Linked DNA regions of Stegostoma tigrinum. The protein of the gene in region 2 purifies or fractionates together with the protein of the main gene of each other region. This does not show direct contact. Links are inferred from orthologs where the notes say so. Each region holds a gene or a part of one and is shown on either strand. Other genes may lie near its edges.

What was found.
Region 1: the proteins of synaptosomal-associated protein 23-like (region 2) and si:ch73-234b20.5 purify together in Homo sapiens (affinity purification with western blotting; 3 studies listed by BioGRID and IntAct, with this or other methods). This does not show direct contact. The link is inferred for Stegostoma tigrinum from reciprocal best matches to the Homo sapiens genes SNAP23 and VAMP8.

Annotation. Positions count from the first base shown.
Region 1 is NC_081354.1:77,936,731-77,944,147, forward strand, and holds the start of si:ch73-234b20.5 (vesicle-associated membrane protein 8), read right to left. Parts: upstream 3,047-7,417; 5' UTR 2,892-3,046; coding exon 2,889-2,891; intron 1-2,888. UniProt on the Homo sapiens protein: SNAREs, soluble N-ethylmaleimide-sensitive factor-attachment protein receptors, are essential proteins for fusion of cellular membranes.
Region 2 is NC_081363.1:85,179,973-85,188,003, reverse strand, and holds the start of synaptosomal-associated protein 23-like, read right to left. Parts: upstream 3,023-8,031; 5' UTR 2,943-3,022; intron 1-2,942. UniProt on the Homo sapiens protein: Essential component of the high affinity receptor for the general membrane fusion machinery and an important regulator of transport vesicle docking and fusion.

The sequences.
Region 1 (7,417 bases), on a different chromosome or scaffold from region 2:
AGTAGTGATAAAGGATAGCCGGTGAGCATCGGACAGTACCACAGCATTTTGGGTATACAGAGGTGAATTGACAGCCCAAGGTGGCCTATTGCATAAAGGAAATAGTCATTATCTTGAAGGATTTGAGAGGAGAGATGTTAAAGTGCATCCATTCAGGTCACTGAAGAATTGAGTCAAGTCTGAGGAAGGTGAGAGACATGCTGTATTGGCCAAACATGAGTAACAGAAGAAGGGACCACATTGGGCAGGACAGAGCTTGTAAATAATATTGAGCTAAGCAAACTAGAGCATTGTTGATGACATCCCAGATAAACCATAGATGAAGGTGGAATTAGATCTTATCACACTCAGGAACTGATTACCTTGTCACAGCAGAGTAAGATTCTGACTCATTGGTAGTGGACCTGCTATGTTCAATAATGGTGTGTGTTGAATATTCAATTTACACACTATTCTACTCCCAATGTTATTGCCAGTGAAGAATTCAGTAGCTTCATAAAAAATTCGGGAAATTCAATCTGACACATCATCCCCACGTTATCCAGAGTCAAAAGGAAAGGCTTGAGGTGGCAATGAAAATTCTAAAGGAATCATAAAGAAATCAAGTAAATCCTGCCCAGATGTGCACACAGCAATCCTCGAGTGGAGAAGCACACATACTGAGGGCTTGGAAAGTAGTCCAGTGCAAAGACTAAAGTCAATCCACACCCAAATTACTGTTCCAAAAGCAAAAAAAAAAAATGGAAGCCAGAAATAGTAACAGGTGTGAGTGAAAAAGCACGATCAACTGGCAGAAAACCAAATTTTATTTTGCCAAGACTGTTAAAACATTGCAAGATCCAGTCAGGGTACAAATATTCAACAAAAGCCAGCCCAAGTGGCAACTTGAAACCAGCATGGAGCAGATATAACCCACTTCACAGGTGGTGGAAGTGAGCTGCCAGATATACTGTTGCAACCACAGGCACGTACACTTGGCTGAGAAGCTGTTCCAATACTGCAGGCAGCTGATTGGGAAGAGATGAAGCACCACCTACACATCAACCATCAGATACTGAGGTCCACAGCAACACAAAAACAGAAACAGCACAACAACTACTGCAGCAATCCAAATAACACTTCCTGCCGAAGGGACATCACGGAGAATGAACTGCCAATTATGACAGCATGTGCACATACCATGGAGAGACTAGCATGATTTCAGGACTATGTATCCAATGCATACACAGAGACTGGTGAAAATAATGAAGTGCTAAGGCATGAGAATATTACTGTATATAGTTGGTGATTTGGTTATCTAAAACTACCTGCGTGACAATACATACCTTTTTTGTAGAACAATAAGAGGGTAATTGGATTGAAATGCAACCATATATAAATGTCTGTCCTAGTGTGCTATTGTCATGTGACTTCTAAGATGAGGCAATCAGCCTAGAGGCAGACATCTTAAGTTTCACTTCAATAAAGACTTTGTGTTGAACACCATGCTGCTCAGTCCAGACCAAATATCCAGCGTCTGCACTATTGGTACCTTAGTTTTAAGACTCTGTGGAGACCAGGATGTTCTACTAGTTATAGTTGTACTCAAAGTCCTCTATTAGAAATATTCAGAGCAGCACTCCTTACATGAAGAGTTTTATTTTTGTTATAAATTCTGTACCTACAAAGAGACAATGAGAAACATAGAATAAAGTACATGAGAAAAAAGTGAAAGATAGTGAAAGAAAGGTCAGAACAGAGAACATATTAATGTCACTTTAATGTCCCTGGGGCCTATGTATATTTGTGTTTATGTTTCTGCTATAATTTATGTTTATAATTGAGAATTTCACCCTTATCAAATTTAACAGCTATGACTTTCAACAGATATTTCTGAGAGACCCACATGGCCTACAGGAAGTTGGGCTCATCATAAAGAAACAAACATTCACCCCTCTTACTTCCCTCTCCCTATACGATAACTTCACCTTGTTCTGAGGTGCTGGATCATACACATGGAATGGTCCTAAATTCCTCAGCTTCCTGGGCTGATCCAACCTGTCTCAGCTGGCATTGTTTTGGAGTAGGGAGGCAATCTGAGTGGTACCAATGTCCCCAGGGTGGTAACGAAAAACATATTATCCACAGAGCCTGATCCTGATCACTAATAATTCCTGCGGGAAAATATGTGGGAAATTTGGGTGAAAACAGATTCAGGATTAAATGTGATCCTGTAGTGATGAAACAACCTGACACCTGGAATGGGGTCATTTGGACAACCATGAAGGGCTATTTTTGATAGTGGGGTCACACCCAGTGTAAAGCAGCAACTTCAGGAAAAGGGGAAAGCAAAGAGGGGCAAATCTGGACAAAGATTACAATTTTGAATCCAAAAGCCAATGCAACAGTAATTTGTTGTGTTTGATATTTATTGCATTATACTGGGAGTAATGCAAATTGTGATTCAGTTGGTATAACAGCAAAACAATAAAGAGCCATTAATGCTTTGGTGAGGGAGGGGTACCCAAAGTAGTAGCCCATATGCAAAACACCACATTTTCTCAGCTAGGCCTTTGCTGAATGGATTTTTATAACAAATCATCGAATATTTTGAGCAAGGTCCTTTTACAAATTTTACGACAATTCTCTTCATACGTGTAAATACCTGTGGAAAAATATGTTTTGCTGAACCTGGAGGAAAACTAAAGTAGGCCCAAAATCTCCAGTCTTTTCGGATTACAGTACAATTATGCTTCCTAGGTTCTCCACCTCTTGCTTTGCACTTTTCGTAAAAGCTTCTATACGCAGTATATTTATATACCTTATTTATAAGTCATCAGTATACTTGTATTAAAAAATATAGATATGAACATAAATTAGAAATTTGGACTTAAAAGCCCAAAGCTTACCATTGTTGTTTGTGAACTTCTCCTGCCTTTGCCGATAAGTGAAGTGGAAGACAAAATGTTGAACCAGCTGGTTAATATTTAACAACTGGATTACAAAATTATCATCGAACGCAAGCCTGTAAGCAGAGCCGATGCAAGATTATTTCCCCTCCTCCTTTCACTGAAGCTAGCAGAACATAGGTACAGGTGTTGCCTGTTACAGAGTGAAACCATAGCAACAGGTGAGGTGCTTCCTGTTCTGCAGGTGTTTACAACACCTGATAGGTTTCTGAACAGGTGTACTTCCTGATTCCCTCCCTCAGAAATATGGCTTTTCCTGGTATTCCTGGCAGTGGTACAGCTAATTCAAAACTTTTTAAAAATACTGTTATGATTTTCACTTACCATCTGCAAAACCTGTTCAAAATTGCCAGTAACATTATGTGGAGGTTATACAGGATATTGGTGAGGCCTCTTCTGGAATACAGCGTCCAGTTCTGGACACTCAGTTATGGGAAGGATATTATCAAGCTGAAGTGTTCAGGAGAGATTTGCCAGGATGTTGCCAGTGATGGAAGGTTTGAATTACAAGGAAAGGTTGGACAGGCTTCGACACTTTTCATTGGAGCATATGAAGTTGAGAGGTGACCTGACAGAAGTTCATAAAACAATGAGAGGTGACGATTGAGTTGATGGTACTTGTCTTTTCCCTAAGATTGAGAATTTCAAAGTAAGGGGGCACATTTTAAAGGTGAGAGGAGAGAGATATAAAAAAGACATAAGAAGCAAATTTTTCACACAGCGGGTGGTTTGCGTGAGGAATGAACTTCCTGATGAAGTAGTGGATGTGGGTACAATTACAATGTTTAAACGACATTTGGATGGATATATGAATAGGAAATGTTTGGAGGGATATGGGCCAGGAGCAGGCAGGTGGGGATTATATTTGGCATGGACTGGTTGGACTGAAGGATCTGTTTTCAGGCTGTATAACTCCGTGACTCCATAAATACCCACATTCTTATAGCAATGGAACCATGCCTTTCCCGTGGCATTAAGTACTCCTGACATTTCTCAGTTCTGACCTCTCCATCTTGACCACCAACATTGCTTCAGACAAGCTCATTGCAAATGTAGAAACAATGGAGCTTTATTCCACAAAGTCTTAGCTTCTATCAAAAGCCTTGACTGCCACCAACGCAAATGGAAATTTCTACAGGCACACTACAGGCAATTTTTCAATTGCTAAGTACAAACGGGCTGGGGTTGTGGTGGTGATGGTAATATAGATGATTTTTCCCAGGCAAAGGGCCATTGGTTTTGGACAAGTCTGGGAACTGAATCCCCTAAAAGTGACACTGAATTGGATAGGGCTCCTGACATCATCCCATCCTTCTGCAACTTTCACAAGGCTATGACTGAAGATGAGCAAGGAATATCTGTGCAGCTATAATTAAAACATTCAAATTGCTCATGGTGTATATCTGGAATCTTCAGTTCTGGGTTTTCCAGCCGGAATACCTGTTTTCAGGATCGCTGAGCAAGTGAACAACTGGCACAGCTTCTTCAGTGAAATTGACAGGCTGGCAAGGCTTTGATCAGTGAAATTGAAGAGCTCCAGTCGTGCTGTTCAAAGCATGTCTTCTCTTTGTCAACTTTCTGGAAGTCTCTTTGCTGACCTACCATTTGCATCTCCTTCAAACGCACTTGCCAACTGCCAACCTCCAACACGACATGTGAGCAAGATATGCAGCACCCCAGCTCGAACCTCTGATGAATGGCAGCACTGACACCATCAGCACCAGCAGTAATCCCAGTTGTCTTCTCCTCAACCAAAGCACATCTTATGAAAGGGTGAACACAAAAATCCAGCTGGAAGAAGGCAAGACCCACAAAATAATGTCTACGGGGAGAGGATCAGCTCTCTGACCATGTCTGTGCTGCAATGCCTCAAGCCTTAGTGTCTTGCAGCAGGCCACAGCTGCTGACATCTACAGCCACCTGGGAAAGCACCCCCTTCCTCGTGGACCACATCTGTAAGGCAAATGGCTTCTCTCCATTCCTGTGTTTGTTTACTGTATCCTCAAGTATTGAAGTGCAGATGAACCATTGCAATGTTGGAGACCCCTTCAGGAGAAATAATTTCTGTATCAGACCCAGCAGTTAGAACCATTGATTGACCCTAGAATCCAGAAGCAATGGGTACATGCACAGTGGGGGAGTCTGTTCAGATGACAGACTAGCACATTTTCCAATTAGCCTTTGGTTGTTAAATACAGGCTGCCCCTTAAAGGGAAGCTGCACTGGCTGGCTGCCAAACAGACAAAGGGCATATTGCAGGTTGTCCCATCCTGCCATCCAAAGTGTCACTCACTGCCCATACCAACTGCCCTGATGCCACTTAATGTTTTGTGGGGTATTAATTGACCAAAAGCAAAACTTCTGACCCCTTCAGGGAAGGTTGACAGATTTGAAAGAGCTGTTTGCAGATTTGAACATATTGTTGTGTAAGGATGTCATGAAAAGGTTTTTGTTTGTTGCTTTTTTTGTTGGACAACAGCCAAGTGCGTATGCTCTGATGGAATGTCGTGGTGGGTAAGGGTCGGTCCATGCTGGTGCAGAGAGGTGGTTTCTCGGAAATTAGAAACATACAGAAAATAAGAGTAGGAGTAGGCCATTTGGCCCATTGAGCTTGGTCTGCATTCAGTGTGATCATGACTGATCCTCTATCTCAATGTTAAATTCTCTCCTCATATCCTTAATGCCTATAATTTCTAGAAATCTATTTCTGTCTTAACCATATTCAGTGACTTGGCCTCCCTTCTGCAGTGGAGAATTCCAAAGTTCACCACCCTCTGAGGGAATAATAATACAGCAGTGTGCTCTCAGCAATGCTACAGTAAAACTTTCTTGCTCCTGGACTCAAACCCTCTTGTGTAAAGGCCAACATACCATTTAGTTTCCCTGCTGCTTACTGCCTGATTGGAACCTGATAAGACGTCTTACCACACCCAGTTACAAGGGGTGCAGGAAGATAACTGCATAGTAATCATGCTTCAGTGTATGCAACATCGAGACCAAGGCACTGGCAGCACAGCTTTACTTGAGGCTCGCTCTTCATTGCAAACTCCCTGTTTGCAGTCCAGATGAGTGCCAGGCAAGTCACTGCTGTGGAGGACCAACTCAGACAGTGCTAGTCAGATGCAGTCTCATTGGGCTGAGGCTAAGGCAGAAAGACTTGCATCAAGACACCTTAAAATGGATGCATAGTGTGAGGTGGAATTTCTTCTCTCAGAGCTTTAGCAGCATTCTTTACTGTAGAGGCTGTTGTGGCTAGGTGGTTAAGTAAATTCAAGGCTAAGATCAGCAGATTTTTATTCAATAAGGAAATCAAAGATTTGGAGAAAAGGCAAGAAGGTGTAGTTGAGGATTATCAGATCAGCTGCGATCTCATTGAATGGCAGAGCAGGCTCAATGGTCTGAATGTCCTACTTTTCCCCCTACATGTTATGATTTTATTGATGCATTAAGTGTATGCATAACATGACAACCTTCACACCAAGAAAGACAAATGACCCCTCTGTGTTTATGCCACCTTTGTTCATTTCTCTTCAGCTTTTAGTACCATGCAACTAGGAAGGAAAACAAAATGAAAGAACTAATTATGGATTTTATGGAAAAAAAGCACTTAATGATATTGTTCTTGTGACGATTCATGATGTGAATATTGGAATAGTCACCAGTTTAAAATAAGTTGAATGGTTGAAGCGAGCAGGATAGAGTGTTGGCAATCAAGGCATATACATGATTATAATGTCAGAAAACTTAAGTCCTTTTGAATTGATCCCACAATCATGAAACCTTTATATATGACTTTAGTAGAGAATAAGATGCTTGTTTGATGTCTCTCTTTGTATTGTTATCTTAGAAAAGGAGACTGTTTGAATTGTTGAACCAGAAAGGGAAGCCATTTGATGTGCAAATCTCTCTTGATGTAATCTGTTCTTGAGAAAAGTGAAGATGCCATGAACAGCGAAAATCACCCCTTGACTCAGTATTATCATCCGATGCACTCAGGGAAATGGGCATAATCCCTCAGATGTAGGACAAATTGTTTCTTGAACTTGTTTACACCTTTATACACAAACACTTATAATGAGTTGATGAATACATGATATATATGTATGATGGGAGTAATTAATCTCTTTGCTGTGTTTTCTCATTACTTATTCCTTGTCAATGTTATGGTTTTACTGCCTCATTGATTAAAACCATTTCATATATTAAAATAATCAAGTTAGATGCCCGTGATTTATTCTTCATGGTTATAATTAATTTATACATTTAAAATAGCTCAAAATGAATTTTCCATAGATAATAAACTGAACTTGATTTGACATTCAAACATTTTCATGTTCGCAACCTGGTCAACAATCTCAGAACTCAGTGTTGACTGGAGATAATCTCTTAGAATTCCTCTGCAGTTATTTGCTGAACATACCATTGGATATTGAATACATACATTAACATTGAAACCTGGAAATTAATTA
Region 2 (8,031 bases):
GATTACAGGTGGCAAACAGGGGGAGAAAAGGGGGTGACAAAGAGGGAGAGGGGGTACTTGCAACCTTAGGTTTTGCACCATAGAATGGTACCTTTCAGTCACCATGATACCTGTGACAGCTCTCAGGAAAAGCAGCTTAGCACATCCTAAAACAGTGCATTTCTAATTTCTCCAGACATCCACACGTGAATCTGTCCCTGTCACACAGTATATATGCTAAATCTTCACTGTGTAAAACACCTTGTGCTCAGTGCACCTTCGGTCCTTTATTATTAACTTGTGCCTCCTGCCCTTCCAACCATCTGCTAATGTGAACAGGATTTCTCTGCCTACGAATTGGGTCACGTTATGAACTATCGCTTTTGAGAAGGGTGAGCGAACACCCCAGCTTCTGCAAAACAAAAACAGGAATTGAAGAAACACAGGTCTGACTTCTACATAGAGATAAGAATTGAATTCTGGTATGACTCTGCAGAACCTTTTGTAGTTCATGCACAACACTCAGAAACACAGTCATGAGCATGGAAACAGACCACTCAGATCCAAACTCAAAGCTCTGCAAACACTCAATTCAGATAATATGCTTCCTTTTTATCCTTTGAGCCAAGATTAGACAACTTCCTACTTGATACTAAATTTGCCAGATCTTCACCCACTCACTTAACCTATTGACATCCCTCTGTAACTCCCATACGTCCTTTTCACAACTCCTTTTCTGATCTACCTGTAGGCCATCAGCAAGTTTAGCACCCACGCTGTCTGTTCCTTCATCCAAATCATTCATAGAAATTGTAAAAAGTGGAAGCCCCAGGACAGCTCCTGTGGCGTACCACTCGTTCCATGTTGCCAACCATAAAATGACGCATTTATCCCCACTGTTTTCTGAAGCCAGGCAATCTCCTATCTGTATATTACCTCTGACACTATGTGCTTTTTATTTTCTGCAATAACCTTTAGTACGCAATCTTATCAAATGTCTTCTGGAAATCCAAGTGCACTACATTCAGCTTCCCTTTCTCTACCGCTGGTGTTACATCGTCAAAGGACTCCAATAAAATGATTAGAAAGGATTTCTCTTTCTCAAAACCACATTGATTTGGTCTGAATTTCCTAAATGTCTTCAATAATCGTCCCTACCATAAATGTTAGGTCAAATGGCCTTTTGTTCCTGCCATTTTTTGTTTTAAATAAAGTTACATTCACTATTTTCCAATCCAATAGAAACTGTCTGAATTACAGAGCTATGAAAAATTAAAACCAATGGATAACTATTAGCCATTTTGAAAGACATTTAGATGAAGCCCTGCAGGGTCCAGGAATTGTCAGCCCACAGTTTCACCAATTTGCTCAATAGTACTTCCCTGGTGATTGTAATTTTTCTGATAGTCTCTACCTTCCATTTTCTGATTGAAAGCCATTTCTAAGATGGCCTGCAATCATGTTGCAATTGAAACCTTTGACTTATATTGCTTCTCCTTCTTTCCCCTGCCAAAGTGTATCACTTCATGTCTAACTGCTTTGCATCGCACTTGTCACAGACCAAACAAAATTTACAGGATGTAGACATCACTGGCATGACCAGCATTTATTGTCTGTACCAAGCTGAGGTAGTAGGGAGCTGCCTACTTGAAAACCTAAAGTCCATTTTGTGGAGGTACATGCACACTCGTGAAAGGGTGGAACTTCCACAATTCTGACTCAGCAACACTGAAGTAACGGTAACATATGTCCAAGTCAGGATGGTAAGTGGCTTGGAGGGAAGCTTGCAGGGGTGGTATTCCCGTACATCAGCTATGCTTGTCATTCGAGATGGAATTTTGAAGGTGCTAAGGAATACTGGTGAATTTCTGCAGTGCAGCTTACGGATAGTACACACTGCTGCTACTGACCATTGGCATTAGAGGGAGTGGCTGTTTCCTGCAAGCTACCTTGTCCCAGTTAGTGTCAAGCTTAAATGTTCTTGGAGCTGCATTCGTCCAGGCAAATAGGGAATATTCCATCACATTCCTGACCTTGCCTTTTAGATGGCGGACAGGCTTTGGGGAGTCAGGAAGTGAGTTAGTCACCGCAGGACTCCTCATCTGCTCTGGTAGCCACTGCATTTATGTGGTGAGTCCAGTTGAGTTTCTGTGCAATGGGTAACCCAAAGACATTAATAGGGGTTTCAGGGACAGTTACATCATTGAATGGCAATCGTTCAACTCTTTCTTGTTGGAGATGGTAAATGTATGGCACAATTGTTACTTGCCACTCATCTGTCAGAAAGGATGTGTTGCTAAAGGTAAGCATATAGATGCAGCAGGCAATAAAGGAGGGAAGTAGTATGTTGGCTTTTGTTGAGAGAGGTTTTGATGCACACTAGGTCAATGCAGCCTTTTTTGTCAAGAACAATCATTATTTTCACCTCACCCCAGTCTTCCCATTTCACCAGCCTACCCACATCCCGAAGGCTGTTTTGCAAATTTTGAAATTGTGCGAGTGCACGCTCTTATGCCAATGAAACAGTGATGCTCAATCACGTTCATCGTTACCGTTTTCCGATCGGCCGACTAACCTTACCCCCGAGTATTCCAGCATTTATCCCGCGGCGCTTGACTGAATGCCTTTTAGGCATCCAGTCCACACTGACATATCTACAGCATCGTCCCCGCCTTCAACATTTCAAGCAAGTTAGTCAAACACAGTCTGCCTTCACAATTCCCTGCAGGCTTTCCTTTATAAACGCACACTGGTCCGGATCGTTGTTAACTGGGGCCCGGGACTAAGCCACCTCCCCCCACGCCTCAGTCACCCACCCAACTCCCTGGTACTACCCTCTCTCCTTATCCCCCATCCACTGGAACTTACCCTCCCAGGACACTCACCACTACCGCCTCCCCTACCCATTGTACCCTAACATATTCAACACCCTCCCTCAGTCACTCACTCACTCACTCACTCACCTCTCCAGCGCAGCCTCTCTCCGGTCTCGGTCGATTCCCACCCTCTCAATGCGCATGCCCTATGCCTCGTGACGTCATCACCACCCGCGCCGCACGACGACATTGAACGCCCCGTTCCGGGCTGCGCGTAGCTGGACCGCGTTGTCGGGGCGTGTGCCCTGACGCTGGTCTCACTCCCCAGCTCCAGCTCCCAGGATCCCCAGCGTGGCCACGGCAAGATGGCGGTGCTCCCCTGAGCAGTGCGGCCCAGTCTCGGGCCTGAGAGGTCCATTTACCGTGAGTAATTCTAGCCCCCGCTCCCCACCTTCGGGACGACCCTCCAACCAGCACAAACTCGTTCCTCACCCCCCCACCCCCAACCCCTCTCACGGCAATCTCAACACCCTCTTCCCTCACACCGGTTGTTACCCCTTAACGTCACACGTCCTTTCCACCTTCCCCGCCCACAACCTCTCTGTCTTTCCCATTCCCCCCATCTTCTCTCTTCTCGCCCCCCATCTTCTCTCTTCTCGCCCGCCCCCCATCTTCTCTCTTCTCGCCCGCCCCCCATCTTCTCTCTTCTCGCCCGCCCCCCATCTTCTCTCTTCTCGCCCGCCCCCCATCTTCTCTCTTCTCGCCCGCCCCCCATCTTCTCTCTTCTCGCCCGCCCCCCATCTTCTCTCTTCTCGCCCGCCCCCCATCTTCTCTCTTCTCGCCCGCCCCCCATCTTCTCTCTTCTCGCCCGCCCCCCATCTTCTCTCTTCTCGCCCGCCCCCCATCTTCTCTCTTCTCGCCCGCCCCCCATCTTCTCTCTTCTCGCCCGCCCCCCATCTTCTCTCTTCTCGCCCGCCCCCCACCTGAAAGCGAAGGTGGTAAGCATTGGTTGCACTTGGACCAGTTGACCCAGGTGAGTTCTCTGGGTAGGTATGAAGAGAGGTTGGAGAGAAGCTGGAAAAAGATCTATGTTGAAAGTGAATACAGCAAAGAGTGTCCAACGATGTTTAATCTGAAACACTTGGTTGATTTTTTTTGTGTTTGATTTATTTTTGTCACAAAAATCTTGATACAGTGACAAGTTTTGTTTTGGCTGCATTTCAGACAGATCATATACAAAGCGCATTAGGGTAATAGAACAAAGTGAAGAATACAAAGTTAAGGCTGCAAATAAGGTACACAAAATGCTAGATCAACATTTAAATATAAAATTTTAGAGATCCATTCAGAAGTCTAATAAGTGGCAAAAAACGCAGTTCTTGAATCTGTTAGTACATGTGTTTCAGCTTTTGTATCTTCTGCTTGACGCAAGAGGTTGGAAGAGATTATAAGCTGGGTGGGAGGGTGTCTTTGATTATGTTGGCTGCCTTTCAAAGGCAGCAAGAAGTGCAGATGGAGTCAATGCATGGAAGTTTGGCTTGCATGATGGATTGGGCTGTATTCATAAATCTGTGCAGTTCCTTAATGGCTGTGGGCAGAGCAGTTGCCATACCATCTGTTTAGAATGCTTTCTATGTTGGATGGTCATGATCAAAACGACAAAGGTATGCATGGGCCTCTTTCTCTTGTTAAGAGTGAGGATGTTGGAGAAATGCATTAAGTCGGTTGGCAGTGTGGAAAAGAAAACCTGGGGTGCTTTTGCATTGCAGGTTGACTCTGTAAACCCACAAACCTGTTTCTTTGAAGTGAAATATATAAATGGTCCTCAATTATGGTTTCAAGAAAAGATCTGATTTTTTTTAACCACATATTGTTCAATGAAAAACATCTGACTAGCCCTAACTTTCAAGCTAGCTAAATCCAAGTCGATTTGTGACCTTATGGATGCAAATATGCACTCTGGTATTGGTAGAGAGGTGAAGAGGGTCCTTGGAGACATTCTTGAATAGATCAGCCAATCAATCATAAGATCCCAGAAATAGGAGCAGTGGTTGGCAGTTCAAAGTATCAAGGCTCCGCCAACATTCAGAAAGAGCGTGGCTTGAATTTTTATATTCAGTCAACGGATTTGGGCTTTGGCTAGTCTAGCATTTATTGCCCTTGAAAAAGCAATGGTAAATGCCTTGAACCTCTGCAGTCCTTGGTGGTGTAAATACATCCACAGTGTTGTTAGGGAGGGAGTTCTGGGATTTTAACCTAGTGACCATGAAGGAAGAAATTTCATACTAAATTATGATGGTTTAGAGGGGAACTAGCAGATTGTGGTGTTCCCTTGCATTTGCTGCACTTGGCCCTGTCATTGGAAGAGATCGTGGATTTGGAAAGTGCTGACGAAGGAGTCTTGATGAGTTCCTGCACTGCATCTTTCAGATGATACACACTGCTGCCAATGCGAGAGGGAGTGAATGTTGAAGTTGATGGATGGGGTGCAACTCGGTGGACTGCTTTGTCTTTGTTGTTGAGTGTTGTTGGAGCTAAACTCATTCAGCCAAGTTGAGAGAATTCTATCACACTCTATCTTGTGACATGTAGATGGTGGACTGGCTTGGGGAATTGGAAAGTAGCTACTTGTTGCAGAATTCCTAACCTCTGACCTGCTCTTGTAGCCACAGTATTTATAGCTATTTTCTGATCAACTTGTTCAGAGGTGTGTTACATATCTCTGCAGCAGTTGAGACTTGAACTTGGGCATCCTGGCTCAGGTACGGAAGCAAAAGCACTAGCCACAATGTTCATATGGTTAGTCCAGTTCATTTTCACTCAATGGTGACCCTGGGGATTTCAGTGATGGTAATACCATTGAATATATAGGTGCAATGGTTCGATTCTTTCTTCATCGTGTGAGTATACACAATGGTACTGAAATTTGCATGATCATCAGTGAGCATCCCAAACTCTGACTTTATGATGGAGTGAAGGGCATTAATGAGGCAGCTGAAAATGGTAAGGCTGCGGATACTACCCCAAAGAGCTCCTGCACTGGAGCTGGGATGACTGACCTCAAACGAGCGTAACGATCTTCATTTGTCGTCAGGGTATGATCCAACCAGCAGAGAGTTCCTCAGTTCTTGTTGATTCCAGTTTTGCTTGGGCTCCTTGATGCTATATATGATGCTGGGGATCTCAGGTGGAAGTTGAGCTGGATCATCTACTCAGTATTTCCAGCTGATGATTGGTGCAAATGCTACAGGCTTATCTTTTGCACTCGAGCTGGGATCTTCCATCATTGAGGATGGGAATATTTATGGAGCTGTCTCCTCAAGTTGTTAGTGAATATTCCAGTACCCCTCAGCTGCGTGTATTAGGAGTGTGGAGGTTAGATTGGCTCTATTGGTTACTGCATTGAAGTTGTAGATTTGCTCACCAAGACGGTGTGTTTGGTTGCAGGCACTTTGTCACCCTGCTAGGTAACATCATCAGTGTGTCTCTGGTGGAGCATTGGCATTCTGTCCCGCTTGATATTGATATGCTTTGGTTTATTGGGTGGTTGGCATTATTTCTGGTTCTGTTTTTCAATGGTTTGTATATCGGGTCCAGTTCAATGTGTGTGTTGATGGAGTTCTGGTTGGAATGCTAGGCCTCCAGGAATTCTCTGGCTCGCGCTATTATTGGATGTGTTGTCCCTGTCGAATTAGTGTCCTTATTTGTCTGTGTGTACTGACACCAGTGAAAATTGGTCGTGTCTCTCGGTGGCTAGTTGGTGTTCGTGTGTCCTTTATAGTCAGTCTTCTTCCAGTTTGGCCTATGTAATGTTTTTCACAGACCTTGCATGGTATTTTGTACACTATTGGTGGTGGGTATGAGATCATTTGCATTCATCAGTTGCTGTTGCAGGGTGGCCAACATTCTATGTGCCTTTCAAATTATTGGCTGTGCTCTGGTGCTAACTTTGTGATTCATGAACTGGGACACCAAGTCCCTCTGTTCTGTAGCATTCAGCAGTAAGACTAGAAGAAATATGACAGGAGTAGGCCATTCAGTCTGTTGAACTACTCCGCCATTGAATAGCCTCTCTGTCTCTGCCCATTGAAGTAATATTCTTCTGTTTTTCCTGCTAAGGTACACAACCTTACATTTTCCCCCATCATGTGACTGGCAATTTTTTTTGCTGGCTCATTGAATCTGTTCCTTTGAAGACTCTATCCTCCCCCACATGTGCTTTCCTTTGTATCTTGGTAACATTGGCCACAAATTTGGCTACGTGTTATTTGTCATTTCATCATGGTGGTATTATGCACTGATTGCCCACACACTTCACCGGTTATAGTTTGACCATTTTTCCAGACTGCCCATTCCTTATTAGCCAGTCCACAGCATATCACCCCCAAAACTGTGTCCTCTCAACCGATGCAGTTACCTTTTTTTGTGGCAGCTAAAGATACCTCTTTAAACCCCAAAAACACTACATTTACAAGTTCATCTTTATCCACCTGCTTACATCTTATAAGAAATTTAACAAATTTGTCAAACATTGGGTGGTATGGTGCGTCAATGGTTAGTACTGCTGCCTCAACACCAGGGACTGAAGTTCGATTCTAGCTTTGGATGACTATGCGTATGGAGTTTGCACATTCTCTCTGAATCTGTGTGGATTTCTGCCAGGATCTCTAGTTTCCTCTCACAGTTCAAAGATATGCAAGTTATGTGGATTCGCCGTGCTAAATTACCTCATAATGTGCAGGCTAGGCGGATTGGCTATTGGAAATGAGAGATTATGGGGATAGGGTGGGGGAATGGGAGTGGGTGAGATGTTATTTGGCGCAGATTCGATGGGCCAAATGGCCTGTTGCCATACAGTAGGAATTCTATAATTCTATAAACATTATTTTCCTTTCACAAAAACATTTTGTTTTTGCCTGATTTTATTTTTCAATTTCCATCTAGTACTGCCTCAGTGGATTCTAGCATTTCCCCAGTAATAGATGTTGCACTACCTGACCTATATTTTCCTGCATCCCATCTCCCTCCTCTCTTGAAAAGTGGTGTGACATTTGTGATTTCCAATATAATGGGACTTTCCAGAATCTAGGAAATTTTAGGCGCTCACACCTTATGCATCTGCTGTCTCTACATTCATTCCTTTTAACACCATAGGTCCAGCAGACTTATCAGCCTTTAGTTGCATTTTTTTGGTACTTTTTTTCTTAGTGTTGATTATTTTAAGTTCCTTCTTCCC